Oryctolagus cuniculus: one gene and its partners. The protein of the gene in region 7 interacts with the protein of the main gene of each other region in a pairwise test. Links are inferred from orthologs where the notes say so. Each region holds a gene or a part of one and is shown on either strand. Other genes may lie near its edges. The genes, in order: HOMEZ, HOXC4, ABI2, EIF3H, RASSF7, BCL11A and NCK2.

Evidence for each region.
Region 1: the proteins of NCK2 (region 7) and HOMEZ interact in binary tests that used the Homo sapiens proteins (3 or more experiments, as listed by UniProt). The two-hybrid records come from large-scale screens. The link is inferred for Oryctolagus cuniculus from reciprocal best matches to the Homo sapiens genes NCK2 and HOMEZ.
Region 2: the proteins of NCK2 (region 7) and HOXC4 interact in binary tests that used the Homo sapiens proteins (3 or more experiments, as listed by UniProt). The two-hybrid records come from large-scale screens. The link is inferred for Oryctolagus cuniculus from reciprocal best matches to the Homo sapiens genes NCK2 and HOXC4.
Region 3: the proteins of NCK2 (region 7) and ABI2 interact in binary tests that used the Homo sapiens proteins (3 or more experiments, as listed by UniProt). The link is inferred for Oryctolagus cuniculus from reciprocal best matches to the Homo sapiens genes NCK2 and ABI2.
Region 4: the proteins of NCK2 (region 7) and EIF3H interact in binary tests that used the Homo sapiens proteins (3 or more experiments, as listed by UniProt). The two-hybrid records come from large-scale screens. The link is inferred for Oryctolagus cuniculus from reciprocal best matches to the Homo sapiens genes NCK2 and EIF3H.
Region 5: the proteins of NCK2 (region 7) and RASSF7 interact in binary tests that used the Homo sapiens proteins (3 or more experiments, as listed by UniProt). The two-hybrid records come from large-scale screens. The link is inferred for Oryctolagus cuniculus from reciprocal best matches to the Homo sapiens genes NCK2 and RASSF7.
Region 6: the proteins of NCK2 (region 7) and BCL11A interact in binary tests that used the Homo sapiens proteins (3 or more experiments, as listed by UniProt). The two-hybrid records come from large-scale screens. The link is inferred for Oryctolagus cuniculus from reciprocal best matches to the Homo sapiens genes NCK2 and BCL11A.

What each region holds. Positions count from the first base shown.
Region 1 is NC_091443.1:51,744,413-51,748,472, forward strand, and holds the start of HOMEZ (homeobox and leucine zipper protein Homez), read left to right. Parts: upstream 1-1,260; 5' UTR 1,261-1,295; coding exon 1,296-1,410; intron 1,411-4,060. UniProt on the Homo sapiens protein: May function as a transcriptional regulator.
Region 2 is NC_091442.1:57,015,260-57,018,158, reverse strand, and holds the end of HOXC4 (homeobox protein Hox-C4), read right to left. Parts: 5' UTR 2,578-2,899; coding exon 2,139-2,577; intron 1,656-2,138; coding exon 1,300-1,655; 3' UTR 501-1,299; downstream 1-500. UniProt on the Homo sapiens protein: Sequence-specific transcription factor which is part of a developmental regulatory system that provides cells with specific positional identities on the anterior-posterior axis.
Region 3 is NC_091434.1:36,665,846-36,669,345, reverse strand, and holds part of ABI2 (abl interactor 2), read left to right. Parts: intron 1-3,028; coding exon 3,029-3,175; intron 3,176-3,500. UniProt on the Homo sapiens protein: Regulator of actin cytoskeleton dynamics underlying cell motility and adhesion. Functions as a component of the WAVE complex, which activates actin nucleating machinery Arp2/3 to drive lamellipodia formation.
Region 4 is NC_091437.1:142,277,377-142,280,876, reverse strand, and holds part of EIF3H (eukaryotic translation initiation factor 3 subunit H), read left to right. Parts: intron 1-650; coding exon 651-818; intron 819-2,374; coding exon 2,375-2,474; intron 2,475-3,500.
Region 5 is NC_091432.1:215,385-219,407, reverse strand, and holds RASSF7 (ras association domain-containing protein 7), read right to left. Parts: upstream 2,801-4,023; 5' UTR 2,789-2,800; coding exon 2,646-2,788; intron 2,376-2,645; exon of another isoform or gene 2,228-2,375; intron 2,003-2,227; coding exon 1,872-2,002; intron 1,771-1,871; coding exon 1,082-1,770; intron 973-1,081; coding exon 844-972; intron 770-843; coding exon 688-769; intron 604-687; coding exon 572-603; 3' UTR 313-571; downstream 1-312. Other genes in the region: LMNTD2 (lamin tail domain-containing protein 2), read left to right, coding at 3,931-4,023. UniProt on the Homo sapiens protein: Negatively regulates stress-induced JNK activation and apoptosis by promoting MAP2K7 phosphorylation and inhibiting its ability to activate JNK.
Region 6 is NC_091433.1:142,200,592-142,204,091, forward strand, and holds part of BCL11A (B-cell lymphoma/leukemia 11A), read left to right. Parts: intron 1-1,831; coding exon 1,832-3,500. UniProt on the Homo sapiens protein: Transcription factor. Associated with the BAF SWI/SNF chromatin remodeling complex. Binds to the 5'-TGACCA-3' sequence motif in regulatory regions of target genes, including a distal promoter of the HBG1 hemoglobin subunit gamma-1 gene.
Region 7 is NC_091433.1:102,853,616-102,857,725, forward strand, and holds the start of NCK2 (cytoplasmic protein NCK2), read right to left. Parts: upstream 2,801-4,110; 5' UTR 2,510-2,800; intron 2,152-2,509; exon of another isoform or gene 1,880-2,151; intron 1-1,879. UniProt on the Homo sapiens protein: Adapter protein which associates with tyrosine-phosphorylated growth factor receptors or their cellular substrates. Maintains low levels of EIF2S1 phosphorylation by promoting its dephosphorylation by PP1.

The DNA of each region.
Region 1 (4,060 bases), on a different chromosome or scaffold from region 7:
CTTCCTTCCTTCCTTCCTTCCTTCCTTCCTTCCTTCCTTCCTTCCTTGAGAGACAGCTCCTGTCCATTGGTTCACTCCTCAAATCTCCACAATAGCCAAGGTTGGCCCAGGCTGAAGCCAGGAACTGAGAACCTAATCCAGGTCTCCCACATGGAGGGTGAGGACCTAGCTACTTGAGCCATCCACTGCTGTTTCCCACAGTGCTCATTAGCTGGAATCTGGAGCAAAGCCAGGACCTGAACCTAGCACTCCAGTATGGGATGTGGTCGTCCCAAGCAGCGTCGACCACTAAGACAAATGCTAGCCTGGTCATTTCCTAAAAGTCCTGCTCCGGGGCTGCTGGCATATCGCAGCAGGTTAATCTACTGCCTGTGATGCCATCATCCCCTATGAGCACCAGTCTGAGTCCCGCCTACTCCACTTCTAATCCAGGTCCCTGCTAATACACCTGGGAAAGCAGCCAAAGATGGCCCAAATGTTTGGGTCTGTGCCACCCCCATGGAAGACTTGGATGGAGTTCCAGATTCCTGTCTAGTCTGGGCCAGCCCAGGCCATTGAAGCCATTTGGAGAGTGAACCAGCAGATGGAAGATCTCTCTCTCTTTTTTTTCTCTTCTCTGTGTAACTCTGCTTTTCAAATAAATAAATCTTAAAAAGTCCTATTCCTTTTCTGCTGGAGTCCTCTGGCTGTTTGGAAGTTGCATGGAAGAAGACCACGGGAGAGATGGGCAGCCATGGTTTAAGACACCACAACAGGATCCCTCCACCCTTTTGGGTAGTGGGAGCATAGTCAGGGCCTGGCTCTTCAGTTCCCTGGCACCCAGCACCAGCTGTTGGTGTTGTTAAAGGAACAGTCTGGGAAAACTGTTTCTGCTTTTCACAGGGGATTCTTCCTCTTTTAGGGGGTCATCTCGTTACTTTCTGCTCTTGAGTAGTGGAGGGAAGAACAATGCCCTTCCCTAATAAGGGGTTACCCTAAAACAAAGGGTAAGACAGCTAACGGAGGGGAAAGGAAGGCAAGACCTCTGTGGAATCCAGAATGGAGGGATAGAAATAGATAACAGAGGGAGTCCTTGAAAGAGCAAGTTCTCACAGGATTGGCTCCCACATCACCTGAGTGATGAGAGAATCCAATTACCACAAAGTAATGAGGTGACAGCATTCCTAGGAGGCAAGCCCCAAGCACGGAATGCCTGATAGCTCCTCCTTACATCACAAAGGCCGACCTGTGACGTCATCGCTGCCCAGCCCACCGCTCTTCAGTGTGCTCTAAGAGTGCTGAAGGGCAGGGTCAGCATGAGGAGCAAACACCCACGGAGAGGTAAGGCGGGGCTTTCCAGGGCTTCTCTCCACGGCTTCCTGCCTGGAGTCGGAGCCCCAAGCCCTGCACAGACTCCTCACGTCTTCTGGGGTAGGTTTGAGCTCCTCCTGCCACAAACTCCTTCCGCGTTAACTTTCGCTCTCCCAACTCTGTCTCCAAGCCTCAGTACTCGCAGGTCTGAGTAGTCGGCCGCCTCACTGCCTGCGGCTCTGGTCTTTCTAGGAGACAGGGCACGAGCACTGGAGCAGAGTTCCCCTAAGGAGGCAGAGACTCACCATGGCCATCTGGTAGTCCTAGGCTGGAGCCAGGCTTCTGGGTACCTGAAGTATGCAACTTTTGGAGCCCCTTTAAGAAAATTAAATACAAAATTATGATATTTTCAGAATGACAAATTACAATTTTTTAAAAAGCTGCCAAATATCTGCCTAAAATTATTCATATTTCCACTTTTTTTGCCAACAGCCTTTGATAGCCTTTTCGTATAATGATTGTATGTTTTCTATGAGTCTTCTAACATGATCACTTTTGTATTGTTAATTTTAAAAAATTTTGCCCCCATGCCTTGTGATACTTTCATAAATGTTTAGAATTTTTGTCAAACTTGGTAAAACCACTATAAAATTTTGGAGCTTTTCGAATTTGTAATGGCTAATGTCATATATTCTGAATTGATAGTATCAAGAATAATGGGAACTAGCCGGCGCCGCAGCTCACTAGGCTAATCCTCCGCCTGTGGCACCGGCACACTGGGTTCTAGTCCTGGTCAGGGCGCCGGATTCTGTCCCGGTTGCCCCTCTTCCAGGCCAGCTCTCTGCTGTGGCCAGGGAGTGCAATGGAGGATGGCCCAAGTGCTTGGGCCCTGCACCCCATGGGAGACCAGGAGAAGCACCTGGCTCCTGGCTTTGGATCAGCGTGGTGCGCCGGCCGCAGCGGCCACTGGAGGGTGAACCAACGGCAAAAGGAAGACCTTTCTCTCTGTCTCTCTCTCACTGTCCACTCTGCCTGTCAAAAAAAAAAAAAAAAAAAAAAAGAATAATGGGAACTATAAATATTAGTTTGGGGGCAGGCACATTTGTAGCACAGTGCTTAGGATGCTGCTTGGGGCACCTGCAACTTGTATGGGAGTGCTTGGTTCAAGTCCTGACTCTGCTTCCAATACAACTTCTCACTGATGCACACTCTGGGTAGCAGCAGTGGTGGTTCAGGTGCTTGGATCCTTGCCACCCACATGGGAAACCTGGATTGAGTTCTGTGCTCCTGGTCTCAGCTTGATCTCTGCCTTTCAAATAAAAAATGGAAATAAACATACAGGCAGGCATTTGGCTCAGAAGTTAAGTCAGCAGCCGAGACACTCCCGTCTTGCATCAGAGTGCTTGTTTGGAGTCCCAGCTCCTCTAGGCTCCTCCATCCCTGATCCAGCTTCCTGCTAATGCACACACTAGGAGGCAGCGGGTGATGGCTCAAGTCCTTGGTTGCCTGCCAGCCTAGATTGAGTTCTGGGCTCCCGGCTTTGGCCTAGCCCAGTGCTGGCTATTGAGGCATTTCAGGAGTGTTCCAGCAGAGGGAAGATCTCTCTTTCTGACTTTCAAATAAAATGGCAGTAAATACACATTTTTAAAACATATAAGTAATTTAATTTTTCAGGGCTGCCATACAAAAATAGCAGAGACTGGGTGTGTGCTAAATTTGTTTTCTCAGTCCTGGAGACTAGAGGTCCAAGACAAGGGCACTGGCTGAGCTGACTGCATCCTGAGGCTTCTGTCCTTGATTGTAGAAGGCTGTCTGCTCATGGTCTTCCCTCTGCCTGTGCATCACAAGTCTGTGCCCAGATTTCCTCGTGGAAGGTCAGCAGTCACACTGTGTTAGGACCCACCCTAATTCATCCATCTCAGCTGAACTTAATCACCTCGAGAAACAACCTAACTCCACACGAAGCTACGTTCTGAGGTACTGGGGGACAGGACATTAACCCTAAGTTTGGGAGGACACAGTTTAATCCATAACACTGTATCCACCTGGGGATAATTGATTCTATTCACAGAAGTAACTGCAAAACCCATCAAGTATACCTACTAACCCCACAGTACACGTGATCCCTCCTCAGCTCCCTCAGCCAGTCTCCAAGTGCCCATCACCTCTCTGTGGACACCTGAGAAAGGGACATGTGACAGAGGTCAAGTCAAGAAGGAGATACCAGTCAATTCCAGTTTGGGGTGTTTTTTTTTTCCCCAAGTTTTAGAAAAACCTGTGACGATGTTGGCGTGTTGCTGCAGCTCCTCCAGTGGTGAAGGTCTGTGACAGGGAGGACGCTGCACCTGCAGGGCCTCCAGCTGTAGGGCGAGCGTGCCTCTGGTCAGCCCTGCTAATGTCTGAGCCGTGCAAAGGGCAGATGACAGGCATCACATTCTCCAGTGTTAGTCCCTGGAAGGGCTGGCAGGGGACTGTCCTGCAAAACATGGGACTCTCACCATCAGCCGAGGCTTCTCCCCCTCACCCCGGCCCACCCCAGTCCACTCCACATTCACCAGTGGTGAGGGACCTTTTTTTTCTGCCAAGAGCCATTTGGAGATATATATATACACACACACATATACATGTATACATATATACATATATATATATATAAACATCATTTGTGGGCCATGCAAAAGTACCAACTTAAAAATTAGCCTGCGGGCCGGCGCCGCAGCTTACTAGGCTAATCCTCCGCCTTGCAGCGCTGGCACACCAGGTTCTAGTC
Region 2 (2,899 bases), on a different chromosome or scaffold from region 7:
ACTTGGCTGCTTCAGAATCACCAGCTCCAAACCTTTCTTCTTCTAAGAGATGGGGAATGTCGGGGAGGGGGCCGGCTCCCCCAGCCCTCACCCCCAGGAGCCCTGGAGGCTCCAAACTCCTCTGCACATCAGGCAGGGCCCACTCAGCAGAGCCCAGGGAGGACAGTGAAGACAAAAAGAAAGGACAGAGGCTAATATAGAAAAGTGAGGACCCCCAGTTCCACCGACAGTACCCCAGAGGGGGTCTGGCCTCCCCGCAGACGGGGGAGGGGGGAAGCCTTAATCCTCCCCATCCTCTCTCCTCCCAAGACCTCCCTTACCCCCAAAAACCCCTTGCTGCTGCTTCTAAGGACACCCGGGAGACTACAGTTGGGAGTTCAGATTTGTGTGTTTGCTCAGAGTAAACTCAGGCAACTCTGGAGGAGGTGGGGCAGCACCAGGCCAGAAGGAGGAAGAGGAGGAGGAGGAGGGGCACAAAAAGAAACCATCAGACATTGCCGTAAAACTAATTCACATCCACTGGTTTATTATCGATCACGGGGCATTTCACATCGACACTAAAATTCTTTATTGCAAGTTTTACAATAATCAAGTAAATTCAGTCCAAAAAACACAACGACCACGACGGGGGTGGGGGGCGATCCTACCTACAGACCCTCTCTCTGAACTGAAAGTTCATCTTGGTTTTCCTTTTGGCCTCTGGAACTGAGCAGCTCAGAGAGGCTCCTCAGATGCATTTCAGCTTTGTCTGTCGTCTCTCCCCCCTCCTCCCACCCCCCCACAATAATACAAAAGAACTTCATAGCTTTGTTCTCCTTAAAATGACTTCCCCCTCACTAACCTCCCTGGTGCATTTTCAATGCAAAAGGCCTAAGGAAAGTGGGGGGAAGGAGGAGAAGGGTGAGAATTGGCTTAAAAATCTCTCTCTCTTTTTCCTTTTTTCTTTTCCTCATTTCCCCTGAAATTCACCCAAACCAGACCGTCGCACTTGCAATATATAATTTTTGCAGCTTTTTTTTCTCCTTAAAAAATAAATACCCCCCCAATCAATGGCCTTAAAAAAAAAAAAACCCAGCAGGTACCATGCTAAAGACAACATTACATGCTTGACAGTGGAAGGGAACAGGGCAGAGAGAGTGTTTATCTGTTTTTGTCTGTTTGGAATTGACAAGGGACAAGGTGGGAGGAAGCGAGAAAAGAACCAAAATATATATATATATTAAATTCTATAAATAAGAGTCAGTTTGTGTGTGAGGGGAGGTGGGGGCCCGGGGTGGGGGCAGGGGTGTGAGCGCCGTTTTATAACCTGGTAATGTCCTCTGCCCGCGGCTGCTCCGGCGGCGTGGCGCTCTGGGAGTGGTCCTCAGAAGGGCCCGGGGTGGCTGCCGACAGGGCGCTGGGCGCGGCGCCGGCCGGGGGCGCTGACCTGACTTTGGTGTTGGGGAGGCGGTGGTCCTTCTTCCATTTCATGCGGCGGTTTTGGAACCAGATCTTGATCTGCCGCTCGGAGAGGCACAGCGAGTGGGCGATCTCGATCCTTCTCCTCCGGGTCAGGTAGCGGTTGTAATGAAACTCTTTCTCTAATTCCAGGACTTGCTGCCGCGTGTAGGCTGTCCTCGAGCGCTTGGGTTCCCCTCCGTTATAATTGGGGTTCACTGGGGGGGAGGGGAGGGGAAAAGCAGAGAGTGGGGTTCAGAGGCGGCAGGCTCCCCAGCCCCCACCCTCACCCCATCCTCAGCTCTGAGGAACAGGAGGCGGGAGCGGTGGAAATGAAGTCATCAAGCTAAATGGGTTATAAAGAAGTTGAAGGAAGCTGGCGACTTTGTAGTGTAATAAGAGGGGAATCCTCATTGTAACGACACTGAATTATTTATGCGCCCTTAGAAAGCGAGCATAGTTTTCACACATACATAACAGATCGTAGCACATGGCTCGGACTGCCCAGAGTAGCTAAGCCATAAAATTTATGGGGGATGTAATTACCCATTCTCGCTCGTAAATCCAGTTCAATTGTGCTAACCCAGAGTCGCTCCTGGAGAGAGAGGGGGAAGGAGAGAAAAGAGGACGGGGCCGGAGGGGGCCGGGGAGGGTGGGGAGCGCCGGGGAAGGGGGGGGGAGCAAAGCGCAAAGTTGCCTACCCGTGCTCACGTGGATTTTCTTCATCCATGGGTAGACTATGGGCTGTTTGCTGGCGGCGCTGGAGGGGTGGTCGGGGGCTGGCTGGCTGCAGGCTGGCGGGGCTGGGGACGGGGAGGCGGAGGCGCCCGAGAGAGGCGCCGGCTCACAGAGCGGCTGCGATTTCTCGGGGTGGTGGTGGCCCGCCTGGGCCGGCCCGTGGCCTCGCGAATTGCCCGGCCCCTGGAGACTGGTGCAGCTATACTGGCGCTCGGGGTAGCTGGGGCGCGGAGGCGGTGGTGGGTACAGCTCCTGGTGGTGATGCTGGAATCCCGATTCCCTGGTCCGGCCGTAATATTCCGGACTGTGTTCAGGGATGTAGCTATTTTGCGAATATTCTTCGCATGGAGGAAATTTCGGATCGATGTAGTTAGAGTCCATCAAATACGAGCTCATGATCATTAATTTCTGGAGTGGAAAATAATTTTTCTCGCTTTGTCGTTTTTCTGCTCCATAAAGCCCTCCTACTAGCTAGCGACCCTGTAAAGTTACTTTCACCATGTGACTCCGCCGGCCAATCACACGGAGCAACCCAGTCCCCGGATAAGGAACCGAATCGCTTTATTCAAAATGTATCCAATTTTTTGTGTGTGTGGTGGTGGTGCTGCTTGGGGGGGGGCAGTGATGTGGGGTTAGCTGGCAGAGGCTGGGATGCCCCCCCCCCAGCACACACACCCCTCCAGACTGGCAGTCTCTTCCTGCTCGCGGCTCCAGCTCCACAGCC
Region 3 (3,500 bases), on a different chromosome or scaffold from region 7:
GATTTCACCTAATGTTGTGTTAAAAGCTAAGCAGAGCCTGTATTTAAATTATTTTTGAGTATTTGAAGAGAGAATGTTTCCTTCCTAGAATTGATTATATTATGGGTATAATTTTCCCTTTTCCTGGACAATACACATTTATACATCAGAAATATTTTGTTTAGAAATTATTTTTCTAATACAGTTCAAATTGGGGGTAAAATCCTAGTCCAAGGTAATGGTTTATTATAAATTGCAGTCTAATTTTTAATTTCCGTTTTTTTCCAGAAAATTTTTGCGGTCTTTCTTATTGCAGTTGAACTTAGACTGTCTTTCTCAAGAAGGTTGTATAGATGATAAAGTTCTGTCTAACATGTTATGAGAATCTTGAGCTGTAGTTTGCTCCTACAGATTTAGGCTCTGGATTTGACTTTTGCAAGCAGAAATGGTCAATTAATGGAAAAGCCTGACATTCTTCCATGGCCTCACACTGTAAACATGGTTTATCTTGATCGAGATTTGTATTTGCTTGGGCATAATGTAGCCCAGAAGCCAGAGGAGTGCACCTGTGGGCTGGTTCTGCAGCTTATTGTGTGTTCCTGCCTGCTCAGCCTCTAAACAGTTCAGTTTTTTCATCTGTAAAAGGGGGTAATATTTGTCCTTTATAAACTTTTCAGGGTCACTGTACCACAATTTGGATTTTTAAAAAAATGTATAAAACAAAGACAATATGTTTTGAATACCATTGGCTATAGGATATATGGCAAACAAATTTTAATTGACAATCGTTTTTTGGCCCCCTCACCAAAAAAAAACAACCAAAAAACACAAAGTACAAAAACAAGATAAACAACAAAACCGAAAATCCAGTCAAGCACTGTGGCACTGTGGGTCAGGACAGGATAAAGATGATTGGGATATAAGGGAGGATAATGTTGGGGGAGGAAGTATAGTTAAGACAGTGAAAGACAAAAGAATAAAAGAATAAAAATTATTTCCAGTCAGGAATAGGACGGCTTTATTTGAGATAGACAAAAAATTTTTCTTCTTTGATTAGAAAGGAATTAATCTAATGGACCAAACTTGAGGGTAGCATGCAAGTGAGATGTTCACGCACAGTGGGACAGGGATGAGGGTACAGTGATCAAGAGGAACTGTTCATTCATGTAGAACATTTACATTCCTATCACATATATGGCCTAGAGGGTTTTAGTAGGTATTAAATCAGCAGGATAACCTGCTGCATGTCCAAGAAGAAAGTTTTGTACTCTGATATTTTGAAGATTTACTCAGGCATCAGTATTTGTTTTCTTCGTGTAACAGCATTGGTCGTGTCGCATCTTTGTAGACTGTAGGGTTGCTGAGCCACGTGGCCGTTAGATGGTCGGAGCCTGCTTTTTGGGCATAGTCTTTGTCTAGTCACCGTGTTTGTTCTTCTGCCTTGGTGGTGGTGGTGGTGGTGGTGGTGTTCTTGTTGGTTTTTGTACCTTAATTGTATCATTGCTTCCACTCTGTAGTTCTCAGTCAGTAAAGGTTTTCTTCTTGAAGAAAACAGCATTTTTATTGTCTGGGAAAAATTACCTAAAAATCATGTCTCTGGAAGTTGCTCAGTTTTCTGCTTAGTCATTTATATTTGCATTAAAATTTCAGAAATGTTTGACATTCTTTTCAGTATTTTAAACCCAAACTCCTGACATTTCTTTTTTTTTCTTTTGGCCCAATATTCCATCAAGTGCACCATATTTATTTTTAATTATTTATATGTATATATTTATGCAAGGAGAATCTGCAGCTCTCAGATTCAGCAGGGTTGTTGCAAAATTATCTCATTCAAAATCAATTAGCCATCATTTAAGGGCCCAGGAGAACAGTGTTTAAAAGCACTCTTGGAGCCTTTTGATAAATGAATTATTGAGAAAAATACGTAAGTCATTTGAGTAGCATTATTTCAGGAAAACAAAACTTTAATTTTCAAACCTTGAGATGCCAGTTTTAATTTTTTTAAAAAAAAGACGAGTCTCATCTGTAAGATGTCAGCTTTTTAAAATTTTTAAAAGATTTATGTATTTATTTGAGAGGTTTGAGAGGTAGAGTTACAGAAAGGGGGAGTGACAGAGAGAAAGGTCTTCCATCTGCTGGTTCACTCCCCAAATGGCCGCAACTGGGGAGCTGGGCTGATCTAAAGCCAGGAGCCAGGAGATTTTTCTGGGTGTGCCACGTGGGTGCCAGGGACCCAAGCACTTGGGTCATCTTCTACTACTTTCCCAGGCCATAAGCAGGGAGCTGGAATGGAAGAAGGGCAGCCAAGATACAAACCGGAGCCCATATGGAATGCTGGTGCTGCAGGCAGTGGCCTTACCCACTATGCCACAGTGCTGGCCGCTCTGGTGGTCTTGTTAAAATTTTTTTTTTCTCTACCACTTGTAAATGTTGAACTCTGAGGTTGAGAAGAGGAAAGGGATATCAAGGTGTAAGTTGAGGGGAAAAAGTGAGGTTGTGAGTGTGGAAGATGAGATTAAATTGTGTGTTTTGTGTACACATATACTTTAATGTATTTAGTATCTAGAAAGGGAAATGAGTTGTTGTGGGTGGTATCGATAGGCAGTATGGGGGTTATGGATTCAAAACTCGAGGCTTGTGGTCCCCCTGTTAGGTTACCCTAGGTGAGGGAGGGAGGGGAGAACGATAGTAGGAACATTCATGCAATGCAGCTGGGAGACGGTGACATACTACAATAATCTCTTCTAAGAGTTGGGTCTAGGACACATTGGCATACATGGTGGAGAACCTTGTGTTCTCAGAAAAGTAAATGAACAAAATTGCATTAGCACAGGGAAATGAGGTTGGAGATGGCAAATTAACAATACGTGCTCACCAGAACCCTAATGATGGAGAAGTAAATCTTTAGGAAAGACTGCAATTGGTAGCTGGGTTATGTTAAAAGACATTTCCTCTCTCATTTTCCAATTGTATTGCACTACTGGCAGCTCTGAGTTTATTGTGCCGAAACTTGCTTAATCACACACTACATACGCTCTTCTTTTTGTAGGCGGCACTCCCCCTATCGCACACTGGAGCCAGTGCGTCCTCCAGTGGTACCAAATGATTACGTACCTAGCCCAACCCGTAATATGGCTCCCTCGCAGCAGAGCCCTGTGAGGACAGCTTCTGTGAATCAAAGAAATCGAACTTACAGGTATTTTCTCTACCTCAGCGCAAAATGTGATGGTCATAGTACCATGATCCGGTTAGCTAACCTCGATTCAGTCTCTCTCATTTTCTACGCGCTCAGTTCTTTTCCTCACTCTATTCTCCCAAACCTCATCTGATTCCACCTCTCTCTCCTCATGTTCTGATGCCACTTTGAACAGTCAGGAAGCCGAATACAAGCAGAGACAAATCCAAGTGCAAATTGCTCTATGAGGTTATTAGTTTAATTGATCTGCAAAAAAAATTATGGACCAAATGTGGGAAATTTCTAGTTGTTTTTTGGTGGAACTTTACAGATGAAAAACTATACA
Region 4 (3,500 bases), on a different chromosome or scaffold from region 7:
TGTGACCCTATTCTAATGAAAAAATGGTGTCTATTACTTAACACAAAGGATAATTTGTACTAGAAAAAAGATGTCTTTTTAAAATGTAGTATATGCAGCAGGGGGCACCAGATGAAGGCAAAAATGAATGCTTATATTTTAAATCAGCTGCAGCCTGTATCCAGTTCATAATAAGTAATGTCATAGCTGATTGTTTTCCCCTTAGTTTTCATGATGATTTTTTTCAGTTCTAAGAACTGTATTGAATAGATTGATAACTATTCTTACTTATATTCCAACTGAAATTTCTTAGAATCAACCAGTTCAATAACTGCATAGGTTTTCTCCTACATATTTAGGGTTTTTAAAGTTTTAAAAAGGAAAGTGGAAACCACATTTAATAAATAACTTTCTTGTTTAGAACAAGACATTAGTACTGTGCTTTTAATATTTTTTCTACAAAATGTTTTTTCATTAAAGAAAAAAGGAAAGGCTCAGTAATTTGAAAGCTTGGGAATGACTTTTCAATCTGGAAAGCTTTTCCTTATAGCTAATAAATAGTTTTATAAAAATTTGTTTCCAAAAAGGCTTGTTTTTAATGTTGGTGGCATCATTAAGGTTTTTTTTTTTTTTTTTTTCCCCTTTTACTTCCCCTTCTTCCCGTCATCCAGTCCAGTATCAGATGGAAATGATGCGGAGCCTTCGCCATGTAAACATTGATCACCTCCACGTGGGCTGGTACCAGTCCACATACTATGGTTCATTCGTCACCCGGGCTCTCCTGGATTCTCAGTTCAGTTACCAGCATGCCATTGAAGAATCTGTTGTTCTCATTTACGGTTAGTAGGAGATTCCTTTATTAGTATTTTCTTCTCTTAATACTTCACTATTATTACTACTATTTTTGCTTTCTGCCTTTTTTTTTTTTTTTTTTTTGCCTCTGAGAGCAGCCTGGCAGGCCTTCTCAAGTAAATACCAAGCCTGTTTCTGCAGCAGCCTCAGCAGCAGCTCAGTCTAGACAGGGTTTCCTTCTTTCTGTTTATTTTTCTTGCTATCAGAGCCCTGATGTGTACATTTTGGAATGCTGGAGTAGCTGCTTCATTTTTATTCCTCCATCTCCCCTCCCTCATTGAAGGGGCTGGTGGAACTAGACCAGATGTCTAACAAACCCCGATTGCTGCAGTGTCTGGCTCCGTACGTGACTGACCAATCATAACACAGTGTGCCAAGTTTTTTTTTTTTAATACCTCTGACAGCAGCGTACAAAACCTGGACTGTTTCTTAGCACAAAGATTTTTTTCTTTTCGGCCTTTTTAATGGTGTTTCCTCAAGCTCTCCAGACCAGATGTTCTGTGCTGTATCAGAACTGTAGGCAATTTAACAGCTTTATAGCCTTCCCCCTCCCCAAACACTCACAGTTTGCCATATCTGGCAGACTTGCATATAGTTTCCAGCTGAGAAGTAAATGTAACGTCCTGAGTATCTGTCAGAAAAAATACTAATGAATACGATCAATCTTATGAGCTGCCCCAAAATTGTTTCAGTATGTTAACAATTGGATTACAGTAAAGAACAAGTTGTTAAAGTGTACTTATATTGGCTGGAAACATTGCATCATCAGACCTTGATGAATTTTCCACTTGTTTCAATCTATTTTGGTTTTCATTTTATCACCTATTGCTAAAAGTTTCACTGTGTTAAATTTCAGACAACATGAATGTTAACACAGGTTTTAGGCGAATATTGGCATGGCAGAGCCGTTATCATGCTCCAAGTGCTAAGCTCCCTTACCCGTGGAGTGTTTAAGCAGTTAGTTTTGACAAAATTTGTTTCTCTAAAACTTAAAAAACAACAACAACAACAACAACAACAACAAAAACACTTATGTGATGGCATTCCGACTTAGTGGTTATGTTTTTAGAATCTGCTTTAATTAAGAAATGTGAACAGTGATTATTAGGGTGGATAAAGTTTGTTTGCATTTTAAATTAGTTGACTGAAGAACACAGTACATGAAGCAAATTTTCAGGTTTAATACTCATCAGTATTTTCTTCCTAATTATACAAGATGCATAGAGCTTGATAATTAAGTTTTCAATAAGCTGACTGGTTTTAGCTGAGGAGTGAATTTGAAAATATCAAGTCTATTTTGAATCTTTTTTTTTTTTAATGGGAGGAAGTTATTCTACCTATTACAAGGATATAAAGATTTCCTAGATTTTTGCCTATTGTTTGCTGTATTGGTTTCAGTCTACTTCAAGTTGTGTTCTGATTAATCATTTTGATCTTCATTTTGCAAGATTCGTATAAGTAACACCGAGCCTAGAATCAGTGTCATGTGAGCACGAGTAGTAGCAAAATTCTTAGAATTTCGTTCTCTTTTTTGTTATTCAAGATCCCATAAAAACTGCCCAAGGGTCCCTGTCACTAAAGGCATACAGACTGACTCCCAAGCTGATGGAAGTTTGTAAAGAGAAGGATTTTTCCCCTGAAGCGTAAGTGTTTGGGGACTAGGAGGTTTATGGTGAAGAATTGGGTATTTCTTTAAAGACTTTAGTTTGCCACATTTATTGAATCCTCTGTTGTGGAGTGGTAATGCTTTTGCCATGTGTACTGTACAAGTTTCCTGCATGCCAAATATCACTTGATTTCTCCCTTTCCATGTTTAAATTGTTCTTTATGGAATGTCTCGTCTGTTGTTCTCACCAAGAGTGAATTCAGTTAGAGTAGGAATTAATTAGCTACCAGATTTGAAGAAATGAATGATTGAATAAAGGGAGATGGAAGGAGTGGGCAGCACTTGTCAGATTGTAAGCTCTGTGTCTTCTTTTCTGGGATCCTGTTTCATGGGGTTGGAGGGAGATTTAAACATTTGAAGGATTCATTAGGGAATGTAGCTCATTGGAAATTTTGTCAGTGACACATATGCAGAGGATTAACTGATGGGGCTGTTTTGGTGATGCTGTTTAATGGCATTTGAATATTTACTTTTCTAAAAATTTTAAATATTTAGAATATGCTAATTTTTATTTATTAAATCGAAGTGTGTGGCTTTGTGTGTCCTACTTATAAGGCTTTCATTTCCAATTTCTCATTTGGCCCCTAAAAAGAATTAAGGTGCTTAGAATTAAAAAAGAAAAGCTAACTTATGACTGACCAATGGCTAGATGTGATAGAACTCATTGTGAGAACTTACGTTCTTCTGGGTTTTGAACCGTTGTATGTGGAGTCTCCTGTGAGTGATCTGCTAGTTGTTAATTGTTTTTAAGTCAGGAGGCTTTTAAAATGAACTTGAAAGAAATATTGTATTACTTTTTTCTAGCTATGTATTTTAAATATTTTAGACATAGATTGTGTAGCATAACTTATAACTTATTGTGACAAGTACATTTTAGTATTAGTGACATTTTAAAGGTACATGATTACAAAGAATGAATAGATTCTTTTGCCAAGATTCTTATTTTCTGGACTTACAGTTTAAATTCAGGTCATTTTCAGAGATACTCAAATCACTTACTTTT
Region 5 (4,023 bases), on a different chromosome or scaffold from region 7:
GCCCACCCCCTCCCTGGGGCTGGCAAAGCTCCCCAGTGGCAGCTCCCGGGAGCCCTGGGCCCGCCCCCACGAGGCCTCTGGGAGACACAGTAAACCTGACAGGCGGGTCTGGCTCGTCCTGCTGTCACTTCCTGGTGCTAGCGGGGTGCAGGCTGGGTGGGAGAGAAACCCAGGACAGGGTCAGCAGGTCTCGCAATGGGAAGGCCCGGACAGAGCAAGAACGTGGGACCACCGCAGACCCAGCAGCGGTCTCCCAGGCCCCCCCGCAGGAGCTCCACGGCCCCTAGAGAGCGTCCTCCACACACCTCGGCACACAGTGAAGCCACTCGGGCGTTTATTGAGGTTCTCAAGTTGGAGTCTGGGGGTGGCACACGCCATCCTCGCCACGTACTCACGCGCACACGTGAGTTCGGGCCATGTTCCACGCTCCTGGCAAGGGTTAGGGTGGTCCTCCTCGGCACCCCCGCCCCGCGGGTGCCCACGCTCCTGCCGCCTGGTCCAGGCAGCTGTGGCTCATCTGCTAGTCTGCCGTCGGAGCCGGGGGCTGGGTGGCCTGCAGGTGCCGCTCCTGCTACCTCCAGGAGTTCTGCCTCAGCGGGGTCACTGTGGGGAGGACAGGGCTGGTGAGGCCGAGGCCAGAGCAGGGCCTTGTCCCGCCAGGGCAGGGGCGGGGGGCGGGGCACATACCCTCAGGGCTCAGGCTGGGGACCAGAAGAGGACTCCGGGGGACTCCCAGGAGGGACTCCTCTGTGGCTGGAGGCGGAAGGTCCTGTCGGAAACATGGCCAGCTTGGAGCTGGGCTGGGTCTCCAGCCTCCCGGGCGCCACCCAGAACCACGCTGACCTGTGTGCCGAGGGAGGCCCCCTCTGGCCGCGGGGGGGGTGGCAGCGCGGCCCCCGTCTGCTGGATGAACTGCTGCAGGTTGCACTGCCGGAGCTCCCGGTTCAGCTCCTCCAGCTCCTGGGCCTGGGCCTGGGGGCACGAGGGACCCTCAGAGGGCCCTGCCCTGCGGAGGGCCCTCCCCCCAGCCAGACCCTGCGTCACGGGTGAGGTGGTGCTGGGGCTGGGGTCCTGGGCTCACCTGCAGGGCGTGCTCGGCGGCCTCCAGGGCCCGGTGCACCAGGGCCAGGCTGCCCTGCACCTCCACGCTGTGCCGCTCCTGAGCCGCCAGGTCCTGGCGCAGGCGCTCGGCGGCCGACGCCGCGGCTGAGGGGGGCCCGGGGGCCTCTGCCACCAGCTGCAGCTCGGCCTCCAGGGCGCGGGCCTGGGCATCCAGAGCCTGCAGCCGGGCGGCGTGCTCCGCGGTGGCTGCGCTCAGGGCCTGCAGGCGGGCCTGCCCTTCCCGCTCCCGGGCCTGCTCCCGCCGCAGCTCCTGTTCCCAGAAGGCCTTGTGGCCGAGCTCCTCGGCGTTCCTCTGCACCCTGAGCTCCAGGCCCTGCAGGTCCGTGCCGCACTCTGGCGTGGGGGCCGCGGGGCCGAGGGACGGCCTGGGGCCCTGCGGGCTGAGGGTCAGTGCTCTCCGGGGTTCACAGCTGGGTGCTCCCCGTGGCTTTGGGGGAAGGCTGGCACGGACTGGACATCGCTCTGGGGGTGGGCAGCTGTCTGAGGAGGGCCTCCCAGCCAGGCTGGGCCCTGTCCGCCTTAACACAAACTGCACGTCGTTGGCAAACTGTCCACAGGTGGCCTGCGCACCCACTGGACACTCCTGTGGCAGCAGCTGCCGCTCCTTCTCCCTGAGTCGCTGGACCAGCACGAAGCGGCCCGTCTGGCCTAAAGGGGAAATGGCACAGGGTCAGCCACGGCCCCGCCCCGTCTACCCGGCCGGCCAGAGGGTGGGCACCCTGAGACCCTTTGTGCCCCCAAAGACTCACCTATTGCCTGGGCTAGTGCGATGACCACTTCCTGGCAGGTGGTCTGCTCTGAGACCCCACAGACCACCCTCTGGACGCCGTCCACCCAGACTTTCAGCTCCATGGCCGCCGGCCCCAAGAGCATCCCTGTCCTGAGGGGAGGTACAGGTCGCCGGTCAGCAGGGACGCCCTCTCCTCCCAGTCTGCCCCCCGGAACTGGCTCGGGGCTGCCGCCCTTAGGGTCAGTCCTGCCCTCCCCCGGTGGGCACTTGGAGGCGTCCCCGCCCCGCGCCAGCCGCCCCGTGCCCCGCCCCCACTCCAGGAACCAAGCGAATCATTAACCAGATCCAGGATTTCCTGCCCCCCCCACCAGTCACCTGGCTCAGAGGACGCTGCCCCTCCCGGGCAGCAGCGAGGGCGGCGGTCTCCGGGCACCCACGGGCGCCCGCGACGCCCCCGCGGCCCTGGGCGCTCCGGACCCTCTGGACCGACCCGACTCCAGGCCCGGGCAGCCCCCTCCCCCGCGCCCGGCCCTTCGGTGCGTTGGCTGGGGGGTCCGGGCTCCGTCTCCCGCGCGCACCGCGCGCACCGCGCGCACCGCGCGCACCGCGCGCACCGCGCTCCCCGCGGGCCGCACCTCGGCCTCCCTGCCCCGCCGAGCAGCGGGAGGGTGCAGGTGCGGCGCGGCCCCCGCGCGCCCTCCCATCCCCGCTCCGCGCAAAACTCTCCTCGGCCGGAGTCGGTGCCCCGGCCGCGCCTCGCGCCCGGCGAGGCCCGAGCAGCCGCGCAGCTCACCTGGGCGGTCGCCGGCCTCCGCGACTCCGGCGCTGGGGCGCTTCGGCGCCGCCGCCACTTGCCGCCCCCAGCGCCGCGGCGCGCCCCGGCTCCACGACCCCATTGGCCCACGGCCCACACGTCCCGCCCCGCCGCGCCCTCATTAGCTCCTCACAGCGTGCATCCCGCCCCGCGCCCGCGGCCATTGGCTGACTCCGCCCCGCCCCGCCCCATTGGCTCTCCGCCCGCCACGCCCCCCGCGGCGCCCAGGTGTGGGCGGGGCCCGGCGGGAGGCGAGGCCCGGCCGCTCCCGCCGGCGAACAACGCGGAAGAGCGTCTGCCGCTGCGGCGCTGCGGGGCAGGTGCGTGCCGGCTCCGGGCCGACTTCCTCGCCGCCGTCCAGCGGGACGCCCCCCCCCCCGCCCAGCCTTCTCCTTCAGGACCCGCGGCGACTGTCGCCGGGTCGCCCGGGGTCGGGGGCGCCCCGCAGGGCGGCGGGGGACGAAGGCTGGGGCTGTGACCCCGGCGGGGCCCTGCGGACAGCTTGGCCTGCGCGCCCGGGCGCGGGCCCGGAGCCCCTCCGCGGGGGCAGCCGGGCAGCCAGGGTGGCACGCGGAGCCTGTGCCACCCCAGGCTCGTCCCGCCTGCCCCTGGCCTGGGTGGGGCTGCGGTGTGTTCCCTGGCGCACGGGAACCCTGTCGCGGTCACTCCCACGGTTAGGGGAGCACCAGGCGCTGGGTGCCGGGGTGTACACTGCCGGCGGCTGCCCTAGTTTCTCTCCACACCTGGCTCTCTGTCCCAGTCCTCCCAGGGCCCGGCGCCCCCAGAACTCCCTCACCAGCACCAGGCTAGGGCTGGCTGGGCGCACCTCCTCCAGCTGAGCCCTGGTCTGGGGGGGTTCTCTCTGGAGGTGCCTGGTAACAAACAGCCCCACCCACTTGTGGTGCCAGTATCCACGGCAACCAGAGAGCCCTTCCTTCCCTAGGCCTGCTGGGCGCTCAGGCCTCGGGTCAGTGTTGGGGCTGGGGCCCTGGACTGGGGTGGGGACACCAGCCAGCACTTGGGGACAGAGACAAGGGGGTGTGTGCCCTGCGGGGGCCATTTTACCCCTGGTGGGTGGCAGTCAGGGTGGGTGCCCATGGGATGGTGGTCTGGTGTCCTGGGGGGTGGACAGGTGCACATGGGGCCCCTCAGCAGTGCTGCTGGGGCCTTGCTGACACCCACGGATGGCCCAGCAGGAGCCCACGCACCGGACACAGGGAACGCTTGGCCAGCCACCCCTCCCGGCCCCCCGAGAACACCGAGAATGGCCCCCAAGTCTGGCCTGCTGTCTGAAGAAGCTGGGGAGGGGGCTCCCCTGCCCCTGGCAGATGGGGAGCCACTCGGTGGTGACCCGGGG
Region 6 (3,500 bases), about 39 Mb from region 7:
GGTCAATTTTGTCCTCTTGAAAAAAGTTGCTGACGAATACTAGCTGTGAGCTTAAGGAAAGCCTTCTAGCCCTGCTTGGAGAAGAGGCAGAGAAGTTTATTTCTTTTTCTTTTTCTTTTTTTTTCTTTTTGACAGGCAGAGTGGACAGTGAGAGAGAGACAGAGAGAAAGGTCTTCCTTTACCGTTGGTTCACCCCCCAATGGCAGCTGCGGCCAACACACTGCAGCCAGCGCACCGCGCTGATCCTATGGCAGGCGCCAGGTGCTTCTCCTGGTCTCCCATGCAGGTGCAGGGCCCAAGCACTTGGGCCATCCTCCACTGCCCTCCCGGGCCACAGCAGAGAGCTGGCCTGGAAGAGGGGAAACCAGGACAGAATCCAGTGCCCCGACCCGGTATGCTGCAAGGCGGAGGATTAGCCTATTGAGCCGCGGCGCCGGCCGAGAAGTTTATTTCTTAGTTATTATTATTCTAAGCACTGTTGTTTTGGGGATCACTGGGACGTTATCTGTTTTTCTCATCCTTATCCTTTGGCCACCATCACTTTGGCGCTTTTTAATGCTGCAGCTGCCTGGTGAACTGTTGGTTAGTCACCCTCATGGGCTATCTAGCTATATATATTTAAATTTAGCTATCGCCAAAAATGAATGATTTTGTGAAGTCAAGCCGACCCCTCTTTGCCAAAGTGGCATTTACCACTCTGGGGTTCTTTTCAGCAAGAGAGAAATAATGTGACTTAAGCAGGGCCCCTCTCCAGACAGCTTGGCTACTGGCCAACGAGTTGACTAGCTGAACTGTAGCTTTCTGTTTCTTTCTCAACTGGAGTTGAGTCTCAGCCGAGGGCGCAGGATGTTGTATAATTTGGTTCACGTTGTTAGCCTCTCAAAATAATGAGGAGGAGGCTGGTGTAGCATTTCTCAGCCTGCTGCCTGTCATGGTGCTGGCTGCTGAAAACTGTGCCTTCAACTAGGATGCCATGTCTACTGAGGTTGGCACCAGGCGCTCCCCCTAACTTCTCTAGACTTTGTAGTTACTGCACAAGGGCGATGGCTCCTGGAGATGTGATACAGCCTATCAGTGAGCCCTGAATTAATTAATACTTTCCTTCTGAGATTTTTACAACTTCCCTTGAGATAAAAATGGTTGTCTTTGTGGGGTGCTGTGGAGCCAAAACTGACGCTGACTCTCCCTCTCTCACACAGACACACATGGGCTGGGATGTGAGAAAGTGGCGAGTTTCTCAGAGAAGTCTCCCCGAACACCATATTTAATCTAATCAACACTTGCTGTGTTTCGGGCTAGGACGCAAAGCATCGCTAGGGGCATGGGGAATTGTACTGAGTTGAGTCGCCCATCTCCGTTTTGATATCTGGGAAAGCATTGCCTGTTTAGGAAGTTTGCCTGCTCCCCCAGGGGGTACAGAACACGGGGATTTAGGAAGCACAGGGCTTGGCTTGCCTTGTCCAGGTCCCTCCTTTAACAGAGCAGGAGATGAAATGGCTGGCCCCGAGCTGCAGCAGGTGAGACTGGAAGCTTCAGAAGAGAGTTGAGTGTGGAGATCCTCCTCCTCAAGCTAGAATTCTACTTTGGGGATTGGAGATGAAATCCTTTAGAATGGAGCTCCTTGGCCGGAAGAAGCCATGTTGGACAGATAATCATAGGGCACCAGGCACTATGCAGCCATCCCAGGGTTGGGGGGCGGTGGGTGGACCGTGGGGTTGGGCCGGGGGGTGGGGGCGGGGGCAGGAAAGGCTGGAAGCGGAACATAAATAAGCAATTGCTGATGCCCGCCTCGGTGATTAAACATTGATGTTGGTGTTGTATTATTTTGCAGGTAAAGATGAGCCCAGCAGCTACACATGTACAACTTGCAAACAGCCATTCACCAGTGCATGGTTTCTCTTGCAACACGCACAGAACACTCATGGATTAAGAATCTACTTAGAAAGCGAACACGGAAGTCCCCTGACCCCGCGGGTTGGTATCCCTTCAGGACTAGGTGCAGAATGTCCTTCCCAGCCACCTCTCCATGGGATTCATATTGCAGACAATAACCCCTTTAACCTGCTCAGAATACCAGGATCAGTATCCAGAGAGGCTTCCGGCCTGGCAGAAGGGCGCTTTCCACCCACTCCCCCCCTGTTTAGTCCGCCACCGAGACATCACTTGGACCCCCACCGCATAGAGCGCCTGGGGGCGGAAGAGATGGCCCTGGCCACCCATCACCCGAGTGCCTTTGACAGGGTGCTGCGGTTGAATCCGATGGCTATGGAGCCTCCCGCCATGGATTTCTCTAGGAGACTTAGAGAGCTGGCAGGGAACACGTCTAGCCCACCGCTGTCCCCAGGCCGGCCCAGCCCTATGCAAAGGTTACTGCAACCATTCCAGCCAGGTAGCAAGCCGCCCTTCCTGGCGACGCCCCCCCTCCCTCCTCTGCAGTCCGCCCCTCCTCCCTCCCAGCCCCCGGTCAAGTCCAAGTCCTGCGAGTTCTGCGGCAAGACGTTCAAATTTCAGAGCAACCTGGTGGTGCACCGGCGCAGCCACACGGGCGAGAAGCCCTACAAGTGCAACCTGTGCGACCACGCGTGCACGCAGGCCAGCAAGCTAAAGCGCCACATGAAGACGCACATGCACAAGTCGTCCCCCATGACGGTCAAGTCGGACGACGGCCTCTCCACCGCCAGCTCCCCGGAACCCGGCACCAGCGACCTGGTGGGCAGCGCCAGCAGCGCGCTCAAGTCCGTGGTGGCCAAGTTCAAGAGCGAGAACGACCCCAACCTGATCCCAGAGAACGGGGACGAGGAGGAAGAGGAGGACGACGAGGAAGAGGAAGAAGAGGAGGAAGAGGAGGAGGAGGAGCTGACGGAGAGCGAGAGGGTGGACTACGGCTTCGGGCTGAGCCTGGAGGCGGCGCGCCACCACGAGAACAGCTCGCGCGGCGCGGTCGTGGGCGTGGGCGACGAGGGCCGCGCCCTGCCCGACGTCATGCAGGGCATGGTGCTCAGCTCCATGCAGCACTTCAGCGAGGCCTTCCACCAGGTCCTGGGCGAGAAGCATAAGCGCGGCCACCTGGCCGAGGCCGAGGGCCACAGGGACACTTGCGACGAAGACTCGGTGGCCGGCGAGTCGGACCGCATAGACGATGGCACTGTTAATGGCCGCGGCTGCTCCCCGGGCGAGTCGGCCTCGGGGGGCCTGTCCAAAAAGCTGCTGCTGGGCAGCCCCAGCTCGCTGAGCCCCTTCTCCAAGCGCATCAAGCTCGAGAAGGAGTTCGACCTGCCCCCGGCCGCCATGCCCAACACGGAGAACGTGTACTCGCAGTGGCTGGCCGGCTACGCGGCCTCCAGGCAGCTCAAAGATCCCTTCCTCAGCTTCGGAGACTCCCGACAATCGCCTTTTGCCTCCTCGTCGGAGCACTCCTCGGAGAACGGGAGCTTGCGCTTCTCCACGCCGCCCGGGGAGCTGGACGGAGGGATCTCGGGGCGCAGCGGCACGGGAAGTGG
Region 7 (4,110 bases):
GCAGAGGTTGAGAACATGACAAGGGTCCAACAGCCTGCAATGAAGGTTTAAGTCCCCAGCATGTTACTCAAAGCCTGAAAACTGACCAAGCTACTGGAAATGCACCTTCCACCCATGCCTCTATTTACAAAGGGTCAGTTTCTCTCAACTGGGCCAAGAAGATTACAATGCAGCCAATTTTGCCAAGTCAGTTTCACCCGCCTGTCAGGACCGCTGGCAGTGTTTACACAGCAGCTGAGACTCCCTGAACCCAGAGGAGCAAACCCAGCACTGCCTAAAGCTGCCATCTCACCCTCCGGTGGCCACCACAAGGCCACCAAGACCCTGCCACTCTCCTCGTGTCAAGGAGAGAGCTACTCAGGCAGGACCTGCCCCTGTGGTCACTTCTTCTCAAGCGGGGAGACCGCCCCTCCTCAGGAAAGCCCTCCTGCGAACATCCATGCACCTGCACCCCCCCTCCTGGACCTCGGCCCCGGTGCTCTCTGCCTGCCACTCTTCACATAAACCACACACACGCTGGGAGCCTTTATCTGGGCACAGGTGGTGAGTGCACTAAGGGCGTGTTCTGAGGCACAGCTCAGATCTGGTTTGATAAGTTAAGGCAGCCCGGGTTAATTTCATTTTCCGCCACTTTCAAGACTTGGGGGAAAAAAATAACTCTGTAGGTAACTTAATCAAAAACAGCAGCAGGAAACACAGCCCCCGATTGGTTCTCACGGCTACACAAAAACCCTTCCCGAACTGCCAGGACTGGGGCGGGCCAGGAAGGGACTCCCTACCTGTGGGTCCCCAGAAAGCCACGCCCACCAGCCCCTCCCCCTGGGTTCGGTCTCTCCCTGGGTCAGTGCAAGGAGCAGGCCTGGGTAATGGTGTAGGCCCTTCCGGACGCGACTGGGGCCCACTCACCCCATGATGCCCATGCAAACTTGGCACAAAGCCTCAAACCTGTTGGCCAAATAAGGGAGGCACTGCCACCCCCGCCCCTGCTTTGTCCTGAGGAGGCTGACTTAGCCAGGTGCCTGCTGGCCACCAGCCAGTGACCCCCCAGCCTCCGCCCACAGCCGGTCCCAGGCGATCGGCATTGTCCACAAAGTACAGCGTTATCCCACACAATGCGAAGCCCACACGGCGCCCACGCGGCAGCCGTCGTGGATGCTTTCAGAGTCACACAGGACGTTTTTCCAGGACCCCCTGGCGGTTCCATCGCCCGGAACGCAGAGCGACCGGGAGAAACTTTGGTACAAGTGGCTGGCTCCAAGGGTGCCCTGAAAATCCGCGGCAGGGCGCAGACCCTGAAACCCGCACAAAAGCGCCCAGCGCCGGGCCGTCGACCCTCCCTTACGCGACGTGACAGCAGCTTTGTGTGGGATCAGAAATAGTTGCAATCAACACACAGTTAAGTTCTCCGGGTGCATCGTGACCCCCCGCGTCCCTGCGACCCGGAGATTCCTCCCCCGGCGACCGCGGCCGCCGCTCGGTCCCACGCCGACCCCGGCCCCGGCCCCGTGCCTGCCGCCGTCCGTCCCGCAGGCCGGGCACTCCCTGCGCACCGGAGGTGTCCAGTCCCCGGGCCCCGCCGCCCGGCCCCTGCCCAGCTCCTCGCCCGCGCGCCCTTGGAGGGCGCCCCTGCCCCCAAGCCGGCCTCTGGGGGTAGGGTGGGGGGCCCGGAAGGCGGGCAGGAAGGTGCGGAGCCTGGAGGTGCCGAGCAGTCCACAGCCGGTGGGGAGGGCGCCCAGGCCGCAGCGGGGGCGAGGGCACCGGCGGAGCGCGGAGGGGCCCCACTCCCCCAGCCCCTCCCTGGGCGCGTCCCGGCCCGCGGGCCCCGCCGCGCTTCCAACTCCGCCGAATGGGCCCCCAAGTTTGCGGCGCACACACTTACCTCGCCACGGGCCGCCCACCGAGGCCGGAGGGCAGCGGCGCGGGTCCCGGGGCGGCGGCGGCCGCGCTGCGCCCGCCCAAGCGCCGCTCTTTGTCTGCGCCGCTCCCGCGTCTTGCCGCCGGGCGGACCCCGCCGGCCTGGGCGCCGCGAGCCTCCCCGCCGCTCGCCGCCCGTTCGGCCGCGCGGCTCCGGCCTGAAGCTCCCGGAGGCGGCGGCGGAGGCGGCGGCGGCGGCGACCCTCCCCCGGCGCGCAACGCCCGCCTCCTCCGCTCTCTTCCTCGTCCGCCCGCGCTCCTCCCCGGCCGCGCCGTGACGCCGCCCAGGGGCCGGCCCAGGCCCCGCGCGCGCACGGGGCGGGGGCCCGACACCCACCTGGGGGCGCCCCCGGGCTCCGCCGAGCTCCGCGGCCCGGCCCCGGAACGCGCCCGGCTTAGCCCGGGGCTGGAGAACGCTGCGCTGCGGGGCGCCGCGGGGCCCTGCGGGGCGCCGAGCGCTAGGCTAGGTCCCCGCGCCCGCACTTGCGGGGGCGGGGTGGGGACGACCGTAAAAATGCAGGCATTAACTTCCAGCCCCGGAGGCCGGCCGGGTGGGCTTCGCGTGCTCTTTTTGTTGTTTGTTTAATTCTCTTACCGCCACGCGCGAGTTGGAGAGGAGACCGCGCCCCCCCCTCCCGGAAGCATTCCCACGGCGCGCTCAGCGCAGCAGGCCTGTGGTCCATCAGAAAAGTGACTTCCAGCAAAATGTCACTTCCTCCCTGTGATTGCTTGCGGGCATTTTTATTTTTATTTGGCTTGCGTCTATTTACTTTCCCAACCAGACACGTTTTTAGTCCATTCGTCCCTGGCGGAGGCGCTTCCTAAGGGGAGGAGCGGAACTCCGACCTCTGATGCCTCCCAGGCACGCAAGCCCGCTCCAGCCGCCGGGAGTCGGGTTGCACAGCCCCGGGAGCAGAGCCCAATCAGGAGCCGCCTGCCCCTGGGCCCCTGCGGGTACCGTGAGGGGTGGGCCCGACCGGCTCACCCAGCCTCACCCCGCCTGGAGTTGTGTGGCCCAGTAAACAAACTTGGAAGCTGGAAACCCGAGAGCAGAGGCAGAGACCGGAGAGCTCCCCTTCCGGATGCGTCCAGATGTCTTTTCTCCAAACTCCTTCTCCCCGTGGTTTCCCAGAGGAAACCCTAATGTTCCAAGGATTCCAAAGCCCTGGTGGGATCGCCTGCATCCGTGTCAGTGAGATGCTTTCTTTGGCTCCTGGCTTCTGATCTTCAGGAAAACAGTAATGTTTCACCCAAGGAGGCAAGGCAACATTCTTTGATTGACTCCCTCCCCCAAAGCACCCAAGAATGGGTAAGTAGAGTCCCCGGAGCTCCGTCATCAGTGGCCTGCTGGACTGTGGACTTCTGACCTGTGTAACCTCACACAGGGATTTCTTGACTTTTCTCAAGTCTGTGAAATGGGGAGATAATATCTACCTACCTCCAACAGTACCAGGGACACGCCTTGGCGACAGGTCACCCTTGAATAGCTCAGTATGTGGAAGGAGGTACACTACCTTGAGCAGAGATCAAGTTCAAGATCTGGGACTCAGGACAGCCTCCTGTTTGACTCTGGGAAAGAAGCTACCAAAGCTCATCCTTTAGTGCAAGTCTCATCTTAGGAGTGAGGAAAGCAGAATTTTAGTCCATAGTCGGCCCAAATTTCAATGGGCTTACTCCAAATACGTAGAGCAATATTGACCCTTGTTTGCTTTGTAAAATCTCAGTCATGGTTCTCCTCTTCCTCCTCTGATTCTTTGAAAAACTCACTGATGCCACTCTCTAAACCTTAATCCTACAGGGTCTGCTGAAGCACGTGGCATTTCTACCTCCTGAAACTCCATCATCTTTCCATTGATCTTAGATGATTGATTTTGGTCCTATTGCCTTCTGGCCCGCCCATATTTTCTCCTTATAGGAGGTCTGTTGTCTTCCTTCCTCGATTCCCAAAGCAATCAAGGTTTTAGTCTGATGTGTCCTTTTTTTTTTTTAGTTAACCACCCGCCTGAACTTTAAGAAGAAATTATTTAGTTTTTGTTTGAAAGGCAGAGGGACAGAGAGATAGCCTCCATCTGCTGGTCCACTCCCCGGATGCTTGCAACAGCCAGGGCTGGGCTAGGAACTGGGATCCTATCCAGGCCTCCCACGTGGGTGGCAGCAACCCAAACACCAGAGCCATCATCTGTAGCTTCCCAGGGT